2 linked regions of the Caenorhabditis elegans genome follow. The protein of the gene in region 2 interacts with the protein of the main gene of each other region in a biochemical or structural test. Each region holds a gene or a part of one and is shown on either strand. Other genes may lie near its edges.

The links.
Region 1: of the proteins of cul-3 (region 2) and ned-8, one has a biochemical effect on the other in vitro, tested with the Caenorhabditis elegans proteins (one study listed by BioGRID).

Annotation. Positions count from the first base shown.
Region 1 is NC_003279.8:10,372,522-10,375,860, forward strand, and holds ned-8 (Ubiquitin-like protein NEDD8), read right to left. Parts: upstream 1,342-3,339; 5' UTR 1,339-1,341; coding exon 1,252-1,338; intron 1,184-1,251; coding exon 1,037-1,183; 3' UTR 852-1,036; downstream 1-851. Other genes in the region: hpo-35 (PB1 domain-containing protein), read left to right, coding at 2,293-2,376, 2,430-2,489, 2,536-2,635, 2,865-2,959, 3,015-3,339. UniProt on the Caenorhabditis elegans protein: Ubiquitin-like protein which plays an important role in cell cycle control and embryogenesis. Covalent attachment to its substrates requires prior activation by the E1 complex uba-3-ula-1 and linkage to the E2 enzyme ubc-12.
Region 2 is NC_003283.11:175,426-183,796, forward strand, and holds the start of cul-3 (Cullin-3), read left to right. Parts: upstream 1-2,153; 5' UTR 2,154-2,218; coding exon 2,219-2,275; intron 2,276-3,044; coding exon 3,045-3,961; intron 3,962-4,766; coding exon 4,767-5,403; intron 5,404-6,057; coding exon 6,058-6,436; intron 6,437-8,263; coding exon 8,264-8,371. UniProt on the Caenorhabditis elegans protein: Probable core component of multiple cullin-RING-based BCB (BTB-CUL3-BTB) E3 ubiquitin-protein ligase complexes which mediate the ubiquitination and subsequent proteasomal degradation of target proteins.

The DNA of each region.
Region 1 (3,339 bases), on a different chromosome or scaffold from region 2:
TGAATGACATCGACGCTTCATTTACGCATTGTGGACGGAGATTGTAAAATTGGGATATTAAATTGTTTGCATTGTGAAGGTGAAGAAACCATCCATGGATTCAACGACGTTACACTCTGCCTTAATTCCATCAATACGAGTTATTTCGAACTTTTGTGGTCCAATTTTATGCTTAGGTAGATTCATAATAATAGGCAAGTCACTGATGTCTGGATGTTCAAACTTAAGATATTGAAGCATACAATTCGAGTAACAAGACATCCAGTGACGGATAAATATATTCCAATCTTTTGCGCTCATATTCGAATGAAAAACTGTGATTTTGAGACAATCAAAATTGAGAAGAAAGTACAACCAGCGTTACCAAACTTTTTTGCTCGCGATGAGACCCATCTATTACGGGAACACGAAATTCTGAGAATGCGTATTGAACAACATATTTGACGCGCAAAATATCTCGTAGCGAAAACTACAGTAATTCTTTGAATTACTACTGTAGCGCTTGTGTCGATTTACGGGCTCGATTTTCGAAATGAATTTCTCCGTATTATTTTTTTCATTTTTTTATTCTAATATTTTATCGATTAATAAATGATTTCCGTAAATCGTCAGCAGTGCTACAGTACTCATTTGTTGCGTAATACGAATTCTCAGGATTTTTTGTTACCATAGTGTTATTTTCATCAATTTCTTTCTAATAAATGAAAAACATTTTTAAGAGTTACCGAGATTTTTTTTAATATTCCTTTTCAATGAGGAGAAAATTGTCAATGAGAAGCACTAATTGTTTCGCCGTTGCGTTCAGGGCAGGACTGCTTTTAATTTTAAAATAATAGCATCACGAGATCAAGAATGCATTATTTATTTGAACACAGAAAATAAAATGAGGAATATGATTTAAAGAACTGATGTAACAATAAATATTGAAAGTTGGAGAGATTGGACATAAAAACGGGACATTCGGGACTGTGACTCGTTTCTATTTGGAGCGGGCTCAATTCAGACGGGAGTTTACATTTTATATGAATACATTTTCTTAAAATCCTCCGCGGAGAGCAAGAACCAGATGAAGAACAGATCCACCGAGAACCTTGTAATCTGCTGCTGTCTTGTCGTCGTTCATTTGCTTTCCGGCGAAAATGAGACGCTGTTGGGGTGGTGGGATTCCTTCTTTTTCTTCGACCTGCAAAATAATTTTCGTTGGATATTTCGAGATAAAATTTAGCTAAAATGGAAGTTAAAGTATGTTACCTTTTCTTTGATTCTCTCGACTCGATCATTTGGTTCGATGTCCAGCTCAATTTCCTTTCCAGTCAAGGTTTTAACTTTGATGAGCATTTTCTGTAAACTGAGACGATAAATAGCGAATATTAGGTGAAAATTAACATAAAATTTTCAAAATACTGCGTTAACAGATAAAAAGTGATTCAAAAACAATGGATTTAACTCTAAACTTGAAAAAAAGAACAAAATTCGAAGAATGATGAGAGGGGTCCGGTAGAGCGCATTTGGAACGCGAGAACGAACGAGAGAGCATGAGAATATGAGAGACGCAGCAGCTTACTACGCAGTTATTTTTTGTTAATATTTATTTTTGTTTTTATAATATTATTTTCATTTTTAATTTCAGTCTTAGTCCGAAATCTATTTTGTTTGAAGTATTAAAAGTTCTCATAGCTATGAAATATATTATTGAGAAAAGAAGAAGAAAAATTCAAGAAATGAGATAGAAAATTGCTCACCGTTCGTCAAGACGAAAGAAAAGCGAATGAAGTACCTTTCTCGAACAAATGCGCTCAGCGTATCAAGAACAAATCGATTTCTTACAAATACTGCGCGTTCTGATCTCCTAGGAAGTTCAGTTAGGTTCATCCTAAACACTAGTTATCGATTTTCATATTTCCTACTGGTCGAATGTGATATAATAATGAAAATTAAACAGATTTGTGGATAGGAGAATTAAAATATCATTCATGAATCACGGAACACTATTTAGAAATTATATTTACATTACTCAAAAAATTGGGGTGAAATAGAACAAAACACAAACCCAAACATGAAATTAAATAAATTATTTCACCATTCATAACGGCCATCATAACTACTATTATAAGCCCATTAATGAGCACTCATTGAGCAGAAAATAAATAGACATTGGCCTTGTGGCCGAACTTGCACTCTTCCATAAAGCGTTCCAAAGAGCCTTCGATTTTCTTGCTTAAATGACATTTCTCTATCCTTTTCATAAATTGAAATTAATGCTTCCACTTAATAAACTAAATTTCAGCCGAAATGCCTACTATGGTAATGTCACAACTGCCTAAATCATCAGGCAATGCGCGAAAACGTCAAAAGAACAAAAACGACCACATTGTCGTAAGTATTTCTGAAGATTTCGAGTCCAACAACATTAAAATCAACCCTTTCAGGCAATCAGCTACATGTACGTTGGAACTCCAAAGAAAAAGTTCACCTTCTATGTTCGAGAAGTAAATTAAATATCTGATAGTTCAAGATTTATTCATTTCTTTTCAGAGAATGTTGTATCGTTCGAATGTGGAAGTTACATACGAGGATGTATACAACTATTTGGCTACAATTTCCAACGACGAAACTGTTTCTTTGCATTATTCTGGTAATTTTCTCAAAAAAATCCCATTTCGGAGCGAATTTTCAGACAAAAATTCGAAGTTAAAGTTTCTCATAGTTTTGTAGAAGTTTTAATCGAAAATTTATATAGAAAGATAGAAAAGTACTTCAACTGTTGTTTGCAAATTTTGAGAAACTGCAGCTTTCAGGCAGTATTCGAGGTCCCTTTTGTTTCTGAATAAATTTTTTTCTTTGTAAAGCTAGACAATTTTCAGTCAATGGTTTGTACGTGCCAATCACAACTACTGGACAGCTTCACACATTTATTCGCCATGTTCATAATGATCCTACTGCATTTCTGTACGTAGAGGTAAAAGTTTCAAATCTATCAGAATGTAATCTAATTTAATTTTTTTAAATTTCAGAATCAAGATTACGTATGGAATGTTACGCCACAGAGCAAAAGCCACAAAATGGAGAAGCGAGTTCCAAATGGAGGAGCTACTCCGATAGATGGAGACTCTGAACAGTATGATTCAACGGAGGACGAAGAAGTGTCTCATGTTGAAGATGAAAATTGTGATTCTGAAGAAATTAGTCAGGACGAGGAAGAATATGAAGATGAAGAAGGTGAAGAATATGACGATGATGATGAATCTCGAATTGCGCCAATTCTAACTGATTATACAGCTCCAATGATTGTTAGCGACAAGATACCATTGAAAGAAGCTTTTGTAGAGCCCAAACCAC
Region 2 (8,371 bases):
ATGAATGTCCTTTCATTTTTTTTCGTCCCAAAAGTATATAAAATATCTCACGATATACTCAGAGATTGGGCAACAAAGTTCAGGAGAACTTTTGATGCACACCGGAAATAAAAGGGCTTCACTGCTTTTTTTGTTGAATTCATATTGGTTTTGGCGGGAAATATTGAATCATTATTGATACTTTTGAAACAGGAATAGACAGTATTTTTCGTACGGAAATTCGATAATTTCCGAAAATGTTCGGTTGCCTCCCTCGCCCCCTTTGAAATTACAGGAGACTAAAATTCGAAGAATGCGTATTACGAAACGTATACGCGCAAAATATCTCATAGCGAAAACTACAGTAATTTTTTAAATTACTACTGTAGCGCTTGTGTCGATTTATGGGCTCGATTAAAATTGAGCAAAAAATTTAGAAAATACTATGCAGGCGCGGAGGAAAATAAAATATCGATATCACTATTCGGAAACAAATTCATTTCAAAAATCGAGCACGTAAATCGACACAAGCGCTACAGTAGCAATTTTTAAAAAAATTACTGTAGTTTTCGCTACGAGATATTTTGCGCGTCAAATTTGCTGCGCAATACGCATTCTCAGAATTTTGCGTTACCGTAATATACACGGTGAAGAACACGAGCCACCAGGAGTACGGTAGCCCTGACTTTAATTGCAAAAAAAGAGAAAACAGTGAAAAAAATCTGTATATAATTGCTATTATTTTTAAATTTCGCAAAAAAAATTAGAAATGACCACATTAATTTTGAATTCCTGCGCGAATGAATTCTATTTTTTGCGTATTCCTGCAATATTTATTGGATTTTCTCTTAGCCTAAAGCCTAAAACGCAGAAATTTCGAAATAATAAATTGACCATTTTTGAATTATTGGTGCAAAATTGAGAAAAATTGTGAAAAATTATACCATTTTTTGAACAATTACGCTCAGCTTACTAATTGTAAGATTACTCAGATTTATGGCAAAACACGATTTTTACGCCTTCAAAAAATCCTAGCTTTTGGCAAAACTTACAGGAAATTAAAAAATTCAGAATAAAAAGTAATAAGATCCAGGAAGCCATGACTCGAATCATTGTAGTTGAACTGTATGAATGATTTGATCCCAGCTTCTTCCGCCACCCTAAACACCCCATAATTTCCGTTTTCCGCTTGAATAGGAAATGTTGTATATTTCTGTACTCCTTCCTGAAGTATTAAAACTCGTTTTCGTTTATTAAACTGTTTCTTTTTTCAGATCACTCAACTTCCTCTTCTCAACGTCAACTTCGACTCGGCTAATTATAATTTTATTTATTTTTCTGATTTTTTTAAAATTCTTGTTTTTTCTCAAATTTCCAATTTCAACATCATCTTATTTTCAAATAAAAATATTTATTTTGCGACTTTCTATTAATTTGAAACAGCGAATATTGTTAATTTATTAAGTAAATTTAATCATTTTAGATCGTTTTCAACCGATTTTCGAGGGCTTTCCACAAATTTTGTACTTTTAAATAAATTTAAAGTTTATTCTACCGAAAACACTATTTATTTTTCCACGTGGACACCGCCAATTTTCTCTGAAAATTCTAAAATTCTGGTTGAAAATTAATTTTTAAAGCTTCCTCACGAGAAAAGCGCCAACGCACGAGGAGCGCGCCAGCAAACCCGCATTGACGCAGTCTCGGTGCACTTCTGAACTCCAAAACACACTGTTCCCGTTCGATTTTTCTCGCATTTTTCATAGTTTTTTTCGAAATTGAAGCTTTTAAAGGTGTTTTAGACTTGATTCGAAGTGAAATATTGATTGATTGAGCCGGAAAATAGGCAAAAAGTTCTGGAAAAACGCGCGAAATTAAAATTCCAGTGACTTTCGAGATAATGATATTGATTTTTCCGAGTAATTAAGTTGATATCCAGCTATTTATTTTTGCGTGACATTCTAATTACCGGATTTTCAAAGTTTTTTCGAAAAAAAAACAAAGCAAAATCGATTTATTTCGAATTACTCGCGACTTCTCAACTTTGAAGCTGAAAATAGTTAGTTTTGTTTTTTCTGTTATCAGTGCGCGCTTTTTCTGCAATAATAACATTCCGCAGTACGATTTTTTCAAATTTTTTGCTTTTCGAGAACGGAAAATCAAGTTTATTTCAGTGTGCACGAAAAACGAGCGAGATTCTGACTTGACCAGTTCGTTCGGAATCGACTCATTTTTGGAGATGAGCGGACGCTCCGGTAATGGTGGACAACAAAAAATGAGAATTCGCCCATTTATGGTAGGTTTACACACACAGATTTTAGTCCTCTATCAAGCCTGTCTCCTTGTTTTGCGTGAAAAATCGATTTTTTTAAAACGAAACTTGGAATGTTACGGCCGAATTATCCGCGATATCCGAACAATCCGTCAATTTCTGATGAGAAACTGATATTTTTCCACTGGCAACTGTATGCCACGTGGCAATCATTTTCAGTTTGCGTGCCACGTGCCAAAACTCGTCATTTCTAAAGAACAAAAGCAAAATATTTTTTTTTCATATAACAAAATCGATTCTGAGGGATTTCTAATGGTCAATAATTGTTTTTGACCGTTTAACCAGGAAAAAACGAAGAGAAAAACTGTAAAATCGTATTTCCGCCGTTTTTTATCGATTTTCTATTTTTTTTCCTATTTGCTTGGACTAGCCATTAGAAACATGAAATTTGTTATAAACGGCAATGTTCTCGCAAAAATGACCTCACATAAGAGTTTTTCGCGTTTTTTTCACGAAAAAAAAACGCATTTTTGATCGAAATTTACCGAATTTCATCCCAAAAAAGTTCCAAAATTTTTGCCAAATTTTGCTAAAATCTGATATTTCGTAAACTTTTCTAGCTGGAAAATCCCTGAGTTTAGCAAATTTTGGCGCTTTTCCGAAAATTTTGAATTCTTATAATGAAATTTTGGAAATTTTTTAATAGTCGGGCCAGTTTTTGGTCATTTAAGGAAAATGCCCAAAATTTAGAAAAGCCGCAAAAAAAAAACGGAGAAAAATGATTTTTTTTCAGGCCACAATAGACGAGCAATATGTGACACAGACATGGGAACTTTTGAAGCGTGCCATACAGGAAATCCAACGCAAAAACAATTCGGGCTTGAGTTTCGAGGAGCTCTACCGCAACGCATATACAATGGTGCTCCACAAGCACGGAGAACGTCTCTATAATGGCCTGAAAGACGTGATTCAGGATCATATGGCGTCGGTTCGAATTCGAATTATCGAATCAATGAATTCTGGAAGCTTCCTGGAGACTGTCGCCGAATCGTGGGCTGATCACACTGTCGCCATGGTCATGATTCGTGATATTCTGATGTATATGGATCGGATCTACGTGGCACAGAATAATCACGTCCTGCCGGTCTATAATCTGGGTCTCGACGCGTATCGGACGGAAATTCTGCGGCAAAACGGGATTGGCGACCGAATTCGCGATGCTCTTCTGGAGCTTATCAAATTGGATCGAAAATCGAATCAAATCAATTGGCACGGAATAAAAAACGCGTGTGATATGCTCATCTCGCTAGGAATCGATAGCCGGACGGTTTATGAGGACGAATTTGAGAGGCCACTTCTGAAGGAGACTAGTGATTACTATCGGGATGTGTGCAAGAATTGGCTTTCTGGCGACAATGACGCGTGCTTCTATCTGGCACAGGTGGAGATTGCGATGCACGACGAGGCGAGCCGAGCGTCGAGATATCTTGACAAAATGACAGAGGCCAAAATCCTGCAGGTGATGGATGATGTGATGGTTGCTGAGCATATTCAGACGATTGTCTACATGCAGAATGGTGGTGTGAAGTTTATGTTGGAGCACAAGAAGATTGAGGATTTGACTCGCATTTTCCGTATTTTCAAACGTATCGGAGATTCGGTGACAGTACCGGGTGGTGGATTGAAGGCGCTGCTTAAGGCGGTTAGCGAGTGAGTTTTTCGCGCGATTTTTTTTTAGAAATTGAATTATTTGGTGATTACAGCCGTGGGAGGAACGTTGTAAAATTAAAATTTGAACAATTTTCACCACAAAAAGGCACTAGCATGGTTATCTGTCGATTTACGAAGCCTGTGTACTCTTCGAGGGGAAATTTTGTTTTTTTACCCCAGAAATTACGGGTTTTTGCTTTAATGCGGAGATTTCAATGATTTTATTTTGTAAAAAATTGAAAATTTCACCCAAAATGGCTCCATGTGTCGGTTTAACCAGCTTTTGTGCTCCTCGAAAATTTATGTATTTGATGGTTAAATCTAGACTTTACTTTGGCACTTTTTTTGAAGAGGATTTTACAGTGTTTAGCTAAAATGCTTAATCGTTCAAATTATTTCTAATTTTAATGGTAAAACACCACCAATGCAAGCATTTCAGCCAGAAACCGTAAAAAATAATCCACGTGGAGTACACGAGTCGCGTAAATCTACACATGGCCGTGTTAGTAGAGGTTTCGCGGCCACGTTTTCGCTTCAAGAAATTTAAATTCCAGCCAATTTACTGTATTTTTATTTATCAAACTCTACTTTTCTGACCTAAACCCGTGTCACTCGCCCGCAGCAATCTGTTTATTTGTTCTGTTGTCCATTACGTCGAACACCGCCGCTTCTCCTTAAAACGCCTCAGCTGTTGGTGGTTTTAGTTTTTAGATAACACCAACCCTAACAGTTGAACACGGAGCATTCAGAAAACTAGAGCAGAATTGGGGGTTGCTCAGCAAGAAAAGTTAACTTTTTTTTCCAGATATCTCAACGAAACCGGCTCGAACATTGTGAAAAATGAGGATCTGCTCAAAAACCCCGTCAATTTTGTCAACGAATTGCTCCAGCTCAAAGACTACTTCTCCAGTCTGCTCACCACTGCGTTTGCCGACGATCGTGACTTTAAGAATCGCTTCCAGCATGATTTCGAGACGTTCCTCAACTCGAATCGCCAATCGCCGGAATTTGTGGCCCTCTACATGGACGATATGCTGCGAAGCGGTCTGAAATGTGTGTCGGACGCCGAAATGGACAATAAGCTCGACAATGTGATGATCTTGTTCCGCTATCTACAGGAGAAGGATGTATTCGAGAAGTATTTCAAGCAATACCTCGCCAAACGTCTCTTGCTCGACAAATCGTGCTCCGACGATGTGGAGAAGGCTCTGCTGGCAAAGCTGAAGACAGAGTGTGGTTGCCAGTTTACTCAGAAGCTTGAGAATATGTTCAGAGACAAGGAGCTTTGGCTGACACTGGCCACAAGCTTCAGAGACTGGCGAGAGGCTCAGCCGACCAAAATGAGCATTGACATATCGCTTAGAGTTTTGACGGCGGGCGTTTGGCCGACGGTTCAGTGTAATCCGGTTGTGTTGCCGCAAGAGTTGTCGGTTGCCTATGAGGTAATTCGAATTTTCAATTGGTTTTGCAATTTTTGAGCTTGATGTTTCACAAAACCCGCAAAAATGTCTGCTTACACGCAGGGTTGTCGTTTTTTGCCAAAAGATGGATTTTTTATACAGAAAAATGTGCATTTTAGAGACAATATATATTTTTTTCGGTTTTTCCAATCAAAAAACAACAAGTATGTTTTTTTTTCAAAATTTAATTTCCAGTCGCGATGAGATGAATTCAAAAAAAAAACGTTTCTTCTAGTTTTTCTGACCAAATACCTAGAAATCCATTTTTCTGCCAGAAAAGCCAAAAAAGATTCCGAATATCTATTATTTTTGCTTGAAATCGCTTTTCACACGCGCACCAGAGACATTCTCATTGGACCGCCACACTTGTGTCGATTTACGAGATTTCTCATGAAATTTTCAGGCCAATTTCAATTTTTCAATAAGTATGTTTCATTTTTGTGGAAAAACTGAAATCTCCGTAAATCGACACAACACGGTGCGCTCCAATGAGAATATCTCTGGCGCGAGTTTAAAAATATTATTGGGTGCGATTAAACGTGCTTTCAAGCTAAAATATAAAACCAGGGCAATTTTTAAAAAAATATTTTTTCACAAAGATTTTTGGAATTTCTTCAATTTCCCCTCGTTTTTCAGATGTTCACACAATACTACACTGAAAAGCACACTGGCCGTAAGCTGACAATCAACACACTTCTCGGAAACGCTGACGTCAAAGCCACATTCTATCCACCACCAAAAGCATCCATGTCAAACGAGGAAAATGGTCCTGGACCGTCGAGCAGTGGAGAGTCGATGAAAGAACGAAAACCGGAGCACAAGATTCTCCAGGTCAATACGCATCAGATGATCATTCTCCTTCAGTTCAACCATCACAATCGGATCTCATGTCAGCAGCTGATGGATGAGCTTAAGATTCCCGAGCGAGAGTTGAAGAGGAATTTGCAGTCGCTGGCTCTCGGAAAAGCGTCGCAGCGGATTTTGGTCAGAAAGAATAAGGGAAAAGATGCGATAGGTATGAAAAGGAAATTATAGTTTTTCGAATTTTTTTGAAAAAAATTGATAATTTGAAAAAAAAATCAATTTCCAATCGCTGCAGCCAACTTTCCCATGGGACATGGGAAAGTTGGCAAAGTTGGGTTTTTTTTGCTAACTAGGGAATGGTGTTACCCCTGCAATCGCTAGGAGGACAAACAAAGTGAAAATGGAAGATCAGATCTATGGCTACAAGAATCAGTTTTTGGAATCTGCTTAACTCGGTCCCAAAGCTGAAATTTTCGGTCTTAAAAAGTAGTCCTTTTTTTGCTCAAAATGCCGTTTTTCGTGTGTAGAAGTGGCTACATAAAAGTTTGGCACTGCAGCCGCCGTTCGAATGGCCGATTGGTGAACTCTTGTGCTCATTAATCTAAAGGTCACGGGTTCGTTCCCCACTAGGTATTAATTTTTTTTTGAATTTTTCCTCTAGCATGAAATATGCACAAAAACACGGTTTCTTCCGTTTTTTGGTAACTTCGGAATAAATTTTTTGGTTCCTGGGAATCATAAAAGTAATTTGGAAACTTTTTGGAAGTTTTCTTTTTTTGATAAATTTTCACTTTTCTCCCACCTGATGTATGCACATTTTTTTCTTCAAAAATAATTTTTCAAAATTTTTTCAAAAAGTGTTTGGTTTGAAAGAGCAGCATTAGTTTGGATATTTCTACGATTTTGGAGGATCAAATGTCATTTTTAGGAGAAAACCACTGTTGTTTTCTCTAGACTTTTTCACGAAAAGGACCTACTTTCAAAGACTTCCAGCTCCGTTGACGAGTAAAATAAAAAAGAGTTGTCAACTGCAAAGTTATTTCAAAAGTACCAATGAACAAATTGTCAGTTGAAGTTACTCTGCTAAATTTTATGGGTAGAGAGATATAGCTAATCGAAGTGAAGCTTTAACTTACTTAATTACTAATGTCCATATCTCTCTACCCATAAAATTTAGCAGAGTAACTTCAACTGACAATTTGTTTATTGGTACTTTTAAAATAACTTTGCAGTTGACAACTCTTTTTTATTTTACTCGTCAACGGAGCTGGAAGTCTTTGAAAGTAGGTCCTTTTCGTGAAAAAGTCTAGAGAAAACAACAGTGGTTTTCTCCTAAAAATGACATTTGATCCTCCAAAATCGTAGAAATATCCAAACTAATGCTGCTCTTTCAAACCAAACACTTTTTGAAAAAATTTTGAAAAATTATTTTTGAAGAAAAAAATGTGCATACATCAGGTGGGAGAAAAGTGAAAATTTATCAAAAAAAGAAAACTTCCAAAAAGTTTCCAAATTACTTTTATGATTCCCAGGAACCAAAAAATTTATTCCGAAGTTACCAAAAAACGGAAGAAACCGTGTTTTTGTGCATATTTCATGCTAGAGGAAAAATTCAAAAAAAAATTAATACCTAGTGGGGAACGAACCCGTGACCTTTAGATTAATGAGCACAAGAGTTCACCAATCGGCCATTCGAACGGCGGCTGCAGTGCCAAACTTTTATGTAGCCACTTCTACACACGAAAAACGGCATTTTGAGCAAAAAAAGGACTACTTTTTAAGACCGAAAATTTCAGCTTTGGGACCGAGTTAAGCAGATTCCAAAAACTGATTCTTGTAGCCATAGATCTGATCTTCCATTTTCACTTTGTTTTGTCCTCCTAGCGATTGCAGGGGTAACACCATTCCCTAGTAAAATTTGCCTTTTTCACGTTTTTGAACTGTTTCATACGGAAATTTATGTTTTTTGGAATATTTTACGTTAACTATTAAAAAAGCACCCAGAAAAATCGATAATTTCAATTTATAATTTTTCCAGACATGAGTGACGAGTTCGCCGTCAACGACAACTTCCAATCGAAGCTGACACGTGTCAAAGTGCAAATGGTGACAGGAAAAGTGGAATCGGAGCCCGAGATTCGTGAAA